Danio rerio: one gene and its partner. The protein of the gene in region 1 interacts with the protein of each later gene in a biochemical or structural test. Links are inferred from orthologs where the notes say so. Each region holds a gene or a part of one and is shown on either strand. Other genes may lie near its edges.

Region 1 (4,108 bases):
TATTAACATTAATAAGTACAATGATAATAATCATATTATTATTAATAATAATAAGTAATAAAACATAAATAATAATAATATTAATAATATTAAGTTCTAACACTTATAGGTAACAATAATATTAACATTAATAATAATAATAATAAGTACTAATACAGATAAGTAATAATAATGATAATAAAAAATAACACTTAGAAGTAATAATAATATTAAGATCAATGATGATAATAATAATAAAAATAATATGTAATACATATAAATAATAATAATATTAATAATATTAGGTTATAGCACTTTTAGATAATAATATTAACATTATTAATACTATTATTATTAGTTTAATACTTATATATATAAGTAATAATAATGATGATAATATTAATAAGTAATAATACTATTAACATATAATAATTATTATAATGATAAGTAATAATAATAATAATTATTATAATTTTTGGCGACGCAATGACACAGTAGGTAGTGCTGTCGCCTCACAGCAAGAAGGTCGCTGGTTCGAGCCTCGGCTGGGTCAGTTGGCATTTCTGTGTGGAGTTTGCATGTTCTCTCCGCATTCACAAGGGTTTCCTCCGGGTGCGGTTTCCCCCACTGTCCAAAGACATGCGGTACAGGTAAATTGGGTAGGCTAAAATTGTACGTAGTGTAAGAGTGTGAATGAGTGTAAATGGATGGTTTCCAGAGATGGGTTGCAGCTGGAAGGGCTGCATAAAACATATGCTTGATAAGTTACCAGTTCATTCCGCTGTGGCAACCCCAGATTAATAAAGGGACTAAGCCAAAAAGAAAATGAATGAATGAATTATAAATTTCAGAACAGAGTATAAATAAATAATAATTAAAATTAGGTTATCATAAGCTATCATCATCTTCATAAAACAAAATTTATTAAATTTATTAATTAGTTTAATAAATAAATAAATAAATAAATAAATAAATAAATAAATAAAAACATCCCAAAGGGAACCATTTCGCGTCATTTTAGCTGTAGTCAATTTTTCTGCCTTTGAACCTGAACGTTATTCTCCGACGACGAGTGAGTCAGTTCCACACAAACACACACAGAAAAACAACGAGCGCAACTCATTCCTCCATATACATGCATTCAAATAACCGTTCACCTCACGAAGCAGCAAACACAACAACAACTCTACCTAAACCACATGATCAGTGCTAATTAGTAACCACGAGATTCTCAAAAAAGCATCCTCACAGCACTGATACACTATAAAGAAAGCCTTGATCAGTGTAAGGATGTTGTCAGGCGGTCAATAACGCGTGTGAGTGAGTGAAGGATTGATTGATGTGTCCTGCTGGTCTCCTCCCCTCAGACGCGCGCATCATCCAGCGCGTCTCCAGAGCGCGTCTTCAGTCCGCATCCGAGCGTCATTCAGCGCAGCATCTCGGGCATTCGTTCTGTAGGAATATACGGTCACTCGCTGTTGCTTTTTCTGCTCCGGCTCTGCGCGTCTCCAGACTCCGGGTTTTTTTCGGGGGTCGTTAAATCTGGAGGTGAGGACCCGGGGATGAGCTTCGGCATGACGGGCTGCGGGTTCGGTTGGGCGGTGATGCTGCTCGCGCTCTGGAGGCCCGCGACCGCTTGTCCGGAGCTCTGCACGTGCACGGGTTTGCGGATCTCCTGCGTGGACGCGGAGCGCAGTATTATGGCTTTCCCCAAGCTGGAGTCCGAGGCGGACATGGAGAACGTCACTGACATGTAAGTCATGCTGGGGGTCATATACACTGAAACAAAAGCGATACATTGGATTTACTCCGGTTTTTTAACCGCGGTAAAGTTTGACATTCATTAGAAATTCGATTTCAAACCAATTAAATTATTTGCCCCTGCTATAGTTTGAGCCAAAAATATCTCAGATAGGTATAATTATGTGTCCTTTATGTTGCACAAGGCTTAATCGATAAAAAAGACCAATTAAACAATTCAACGAAATTATACAATAAAACCAGTAGCAAAATGTTCAGAAAAACACCCTGCTTATTGCACAAGACTCTGTTTTTTGCAATTAGCACTTTATTTATTTTATTATATTTTTAAAATAACTTTTAATGTAAAAATGGTAAAAGTTTTGTTTTTCACAGTTATGCCTTTGTTGATTTTATATACAGTACTGAATCCATATTTTCAGTAATTCGGATACACTGTAAACACTTAAATGAATTAAACACTGACACCATTTGAGATAAAAATATACAAATCAACTCTAAAATTGTCTAAATATTATTCCCTATGATGCACAAGCTTTGTTCTTTATTGTTATGCCTTTGTTGATTTTATATACAGTACTGAATCCATATTTTCAGTTATTCGGATACACTGTAAACACTTAAATGAATTAAACACTGACACAATTTGAGATTAAAAACACAAATCAACTCTAAAATTATCTAAATATTATTCCCTATGATACACAAGCTTTGTTCTTTATTGTTATGCCTTTGTTGATTTTATATACAGCACTGGATCCATATTTTCAGTAATTTGGATACACTGTAAACACTTAAATAAATTAAACGCTGACACCATTTGATATAAAAAAAACAAATCAACTCTAAAATGATCTAAATATTATCCTCTAGGATGCACAAGCTTTGCTTTTTACTGTTATGCCTTTGTTGATTTTATATACAGTACTGAATCCCTATATTCATTATATCGCTACACTGTAAATGATTAATCAAGACTAATAGTTTATAGCTTTGCTACTGTAAACGCATTTAATGAATAGTAATAGTTTATAGCTATGCTACTGTAAACGTATTTATTGAAGACTGATAGTTTATAGCTATGCTACTGTAAACGTATTTATTGAAGACTAATAGTTTATAGCTATGCTACTGTAAACGTATTTATTGTAGACTTATAGTTTATAGTTATGCTACTGTAAACGTATTTATTAAAGACTGATAGTTTATAGCTATGCTACTGTAAACATATTTATTAAAGACTAATAGTTTATAGCTATGCTACTGTAAGCGTATTTATTGTAGACTAATAGTTTATAGCTATGCTACTGTAAACGTATTTATTGAAGACTAATAGTTCATAGCTATGCTACTGTAAACGTATTTATTAAAGACTAATAGTTTATAGCTATGCTACTGTAAACGTATTAAAGACTGATAGTTTATAGCTATGCTACTGTAAACGTATTTATTAAAGACTGATAGTTTATAGCTATGCTACTGTAAACGTATTTATTAAAGACTGATAGTTTATAGCTATGCTACTGTAAACGTATTTATTAAAGACTGATAGTTTATAGCTATGCTACTGTAAACGTATTTATTGTAGACTAATAGTTTATAGCTATGCTGCTGTAAACGTAATTAATGAAGACTAATAGTTTATAGTTATGCTACTGTAAACGTATTTATTGAAGACTAATAGTTTATAGCTATGCTACTGTAAACATATTTATTGTAGACTAATAGTTTATAGCTATGCTACTGTAAACGTAATTAATGAAGACTAATAGTTTATAGCTATGCTACTGTAAACATATTTATTGTAGACTAATAGTTTATAGCTATGCTACTGTAAACGTAATTAATGAAGACTAATAGTTTATAGCCATTGCCTTTTATTGTGGTTCCAGCTGATTGGTGTGTCTACAGTTTTGCACCAGTGTGCCTGCACATCTGATGGCTGTGCTTAACCAATTGGCATCAGTCTTTGCTTTGAAATTGCAAGGAAATTTCATCATGAAAAATTTCTGTGTCAAATGCAAACAAGCGTGTTTAGTGATTTGCAATCTAAGCTGATCTAGCCTTGTGCTTTGCTCCTTGAGTGTACGGTTTTGGTTGTTGTGGCAAAAGTTAAACTTTAGTGTGTAAGCAATCATAAAAAAACTGTAAAATATGCAACAAAAGCTAATTTTACTTTCAAACAACACAACTTGCAAACAAGTATATGAGCTCTTTTAATCAATAGACAACAAAATGCAGAACTCAGTGTGAATCAGTGCATCTTTGCTTGTCCTTGTAGCCCATGCCGTTTGTTGTCTTTCTATTTGGGCTGTCAAATTTGCCTTTTTGCAAAGAACTGGATCCAGAATGTTGAATTCATGACATC
Region 2 (4,328 bases), on another chromosome or scaffold:
CAACTAGTACATGTTTGTCTGCAGTGCAGCAAGACCTGCAAGAGCAAAACGAGTTACGCAGGGATGAATGTGAGGCGGGAAGCTCAGTCACAAATGTACAAAATTTTTATAAATAAATAAAAACAAATGAATAAATACATATTTAACAGAATATATTGCCCAAGGTACTTTATGTCACCAAAACAGTATTGTATTGTTTTGTTTCAGCTTTAGTAAAGAAACAGCTGTCCATATCATCATAACTTATTCTGTACGTAAAGACACAGAAATTACATTAAAAGTGATTTTTAAAACTTTTGGGAAAACTAGGGGAATTACTTCTTAAACTTGGAATATATTCTAGAAAGACAGGCAGACATGAGAAATGCAGTTGTGTGTAATCAGTCTTTCTTAAACAAAAGCAAAGCCATGACGAGAAAAACTAAGACAAGAAAAAGAGCCAATCTGTTTGAATTAATGCCCTGCCTAATATGAAGGGATTAATTAATCCCACTATAAGATCCAAGTCAGTCAGATTTTGTTTGCTATGTTCATTGTTTAGGGCAATAATCAATGGAACAATGAATGAATGAATGAATGAATGAATGAATGAATGAATGAATGAATGAATGAATGAATGAATGAATGAATGAATGAATGAATGAATGAATGAATGAATGAACTTAGACTTATGGGAACACAATGTCTGTTGATGCTGACCAGAGGAGAGGTTTATCTGAGAAACAGGTCTGTTGACTGATCTTTTAAACTTTTTCTCCTTTTCTTTGCTTCCAGTTCGTTTGCTGTGCGTGTCGTCTGTGGTCCAAGCATACTGTTTACTGTTGCTGTGAGTTATAAATACAATAGCGTTTCATGTCTTTTACAACTATCGGGCTCGAACGAATCTTGGCTCATATGCGGGTAAATACCACCAATTACTCATGTTACTTTTCAGCACATTTGAACACATCCAAGCATAGCGCCTCGTCACTGCATAACAATTAGATTAGTGTTCGTGCTCTGATGGAATTTTACTGATAACAGAAACGGTCGTACTTGGATTTCGTGACTTCCATTCCCTACTTTAGGTCAAGATAAAGGCGTACGGGGGAAAATAACGTTGTCATTTATTTAAGTTGACATCGTGCCTCAAGACTGAGGAGGATTCAGCTTTTTTTTCCATTTGCTATAGTACACACATAACGAAGCTCAAAACTGTATTGCACAGATGTAAGTATGGTACTTAAAACAATGTTTTTCCTCTGTTTGGCTTTCAATAGCACAGCTTTGCAGCAGCAGCAACAAGTCTCCCGAGAACTTAGTCCTACTTGGCAGAAAATAAGATTGTGAAATCTTACCTGATCTCCCTCAGCTGGGAAAACAGCCAGATTGAAAATGTCGTGAACTGTAGGCTTCGCGTAATGTTGACATATCACGCGCAATGCACGCAGAGACGCGCGAAAAAAAAGTGCACATTGCTGTCTTGGATGCGCAACTTTTCTAATGGTCATTCATTTTCAGCCAGCGTCTCGGGGTAGTTGCTGGTCAGTTTAGTTCCCACCTAAACTTGACCGCCTTCGCTTATTTCAATCACGTAAGAGCACTAACGGCGTTTCTCTGAGCGAGGGCACTGCGTAAATCTGTATAGGGGTTTTGGGTAAATCGCGACTGGTTTCTATTTGTCCTCTCGGCACAGTCGCCAAGGTGTAAGAGAGTTTAAGCACGAGGATATTGCAAAGGGTTATTAGATTCATAAGTCACCCAAGTGGTGGGCGATCTTCTGAGCACGGCAGAAGTTCTCATATGATGACTTCAAACAAGACACATTACCTACCAGCATCTGTTGGAGTGTGTGGATATTAAGACACTTCTATCTCCAGGACAGCATAGGGGAAAATGGTAAGTTGCATGGAAATACTACACTTAAAGGAATAATTACTCCAAAAGGCATGGCTTGTGTTTACACTGACTGAAGGGTTGCTTTCAGAAGAACAGATTTTGATGATGCACGACATATACGAGTGCTCTCGTGCTTATGGACCCAAACGCTGAAGGCTACTTAATCGAGGGTTCGGCTTTGCTAACGTGAATGTAAAACTTTGTAATGCTGCTGTTTTCTGGGATTCGTAGATAGAGGGGGAAAATCCGAGTAAAGCAAACGCAGCCGTAGAGAATATACATTCTAATTGGTTTTGCCTTTGTTGCTCTGTGTGCCAATCTGCGCTTTGATGCCTGTTGGGCTTTTAGCCTTTATACTAAATGTCGTTTTTACAAGTGCTCAGTGAAAAAGGCAACATGTGTAGACATGTCCATCTGCCCTGCAGGACAAAAGCAGAGCACCAAGGCGCTATTACTGTGTGATTTGGGGACACGGGTTGCAAGCCTTTTGGGGGACCCCTCTTTAGAGGGTTATGAGCGACTTTTCAGATAAGTGATTCTTTTGTTAAGAAAACGACCGGCCAACATGTGATCAAATATTAACAGGACGGGCTTGCCAAGGATATATTCACGTGACAAGGCGTGGGGAAGCAATAGAGTAAAGCAATATCAAGTGGCACTTAACGAAAGTATAGATTTTTGCCTCTAAGTAACCTTAGCTGTGCTATGATTTCAGCACTTTGGACAGAGGCACCGGGAGTCGTTGAACGCTGCGGACTAACACGGAGTGAGTGGACTTCGCCTTTTGTGTTTTGCCAAAGCTAGGGATTGTTTCACTTTTTCCTTCTTTTTTGCTCTCGGAGGGAGACCCGTGAGAAAACAAAACAAACAAACAAACGCGAGGAAAAGCATCAGTCGATAGCGGGGCTGCTTACTTTGCGCTTGGAGTTTTGTCGCCACTTAGAGCATGTGAAAGTTGAAATCGTAGAGCTGCTAGTGTACTCGTACTTTGCAATCTCCACTTGGTGCACAGCGTTAACTTTGGGAAATGCAAGTGTTGGTCTTGGAGATCTAACCACTGATAGTGGTTGTCAGCTCTTATAAAGGTAAGACCTGTTTGTTTTATTCTCCACTTTACTAGCAGCCCCTTCTCGGGCAGATGTTTATCTATCTGTACATAGCGAAATTGATCCTCTTTTTGCATTTTAACTCTACGGACAGAGAAAATGTAACGCTGTGAGGAAAAGCTTTGGGTTGTGATGGGAGAGAGAAGACGTGAGTCATGAGGGAAATGTTAAACTTACGTTATCATTTTACATGTTCCTTCTACTTTGTCCGTATGCTTTTACACCATGACTATAGCAGAAAACGGTCAGAAAGTTGTTTCAATTACCAGTCACAGCTCTGTCACAAATTCACAGAAACGGACTAATGCTTTTTTCTATATCTACAGTTGCCACATTTAGCACATATTTAATATGAGTTGTCATTTTAAAGCAACACAAATAAATAGTACATGCAAGTGCGTAAAAGCTCACTTTCCGTCCTCATCATAATCAAATGCTTGCGGAATTCTTGTTGTATTTAATGCGCAATTGTCTAGCGCACGCTTTTCTTTGCTTGCTGAATAATGGGGCATGTCTTTAATAAAATATACGACTCAGCACGAGCTACCTCCTACTTATTGTCTTGCTGAGATCGAAAAGATCCTTATCTATCTATCTATCTATCTATCTATCTATCTATCTATCTATCTATCTATCTATCTATCTATCTATCTATCTATCTATCTATCTATCTATCTATCTATCTATCTATCGGTTTAGCTGTCATTCTCGTCATCCTTTCTGATCAGCTAAAATGTTGTTTTCGTTAGCATGGAGGGATAATTTATTCGTTGAATCGATCCTAAAGTGGTGCAACCAGCCTTATCAAACTAATCGCGTCTGTAGCATCTCCGCACTTCGTCATCGTGGACATATTGCTAGTGTTTTTACTACGGACCGCTTCTCCGTTTCATTCATCCCGAGATTTCCACTCCTCTCCTCCAGCATCACCTGCTCATCTCGCTCCCCAGCGCACAGGTCTGTCTGTGCACACGCCGAACAGTTGGGAACCACTTAGAGCTAAAAGCTTTCGCCACAGATAACATATCATGTTAAAGTATTTTGAATTGCCTCGCCAAAAATAGCCCGATGGCCAAAACAATGTGTGTGTGTGTGCGTGTGTGTGTTCATATATATTTCCAGTTAAAGTGAATAAGAATTTGGATAGGCGTGGTCAGATTTTGTTCAGACTGGGTTAGATGGAGCCACCGATAAGATTGCCTGATAAGGAAATGGCTGAGAGGGTGTCACGCGTATTGTGGAGAAAACTGAAGAAAAGCCGTGCAAGACTGAGACGAAATTAGGACAGTCAGCGTTTTAAAGGAGCCTTTCGCTGATGAATTTCTGACTTTTATGCCGACTAAG

Evidence for each region. The genes of interacting proteins can lie anywhere in the genome.
Region 2: the proteins of ntrk2a (region 1) and bdnf form a complex in vitro, tested with the Homo sapiens proteins (3 studies listed by BioGRID). The link is inferred for Danio rerio from reciprocal best matches to the Homo sapiens genes NTRK2 and BDNF.

What each region holds. Positions count from the first base shown.
Region 1 is NC_133183.1:59,551,798-59,555,905, forward strand, and holds the start of ntrk2a (BDNF/NT-3 growth factors receptor precursor), read left to right. Parts: upstream 1-1,271; 5' UTR 1,272-1,541; coding exon 1,542-1,732; intron 1,733-4,108. UniProt on the Homo sapiens protein: Receptor tyrosine kinase involved in the development and the maturation of the central and the peripheral nervous systems through regulation of neuron survival, proliferation, migration, differentiation, and synapse formation and plasticity.
Region 2 is NC_133182.1:31,986,184-31,990,511, reverse strand, and holds the start of bdnf (brain-derived neurotrophic factor isoform 1 precursor), read left to right. Parts: upstream 1-1,492; 5' UTR 1,493-1,875; coding exon 1,876-1,878; intron 1,879-2,593; exon of another isoform or gene 2,594-2,963; intron 2,964-3,534; exon of another isoform or gene 3,535-3,941; intron 3,942-4,150; exon of another isoform or gene 4,151-4,328. UniProt on the Homo sapiens protein: Important signaling molecule that activates signaling cascades downstream of NTRK2. During development, promotes the survival and differentiation of selected neuronal populations of the peripheral and central nervous systems.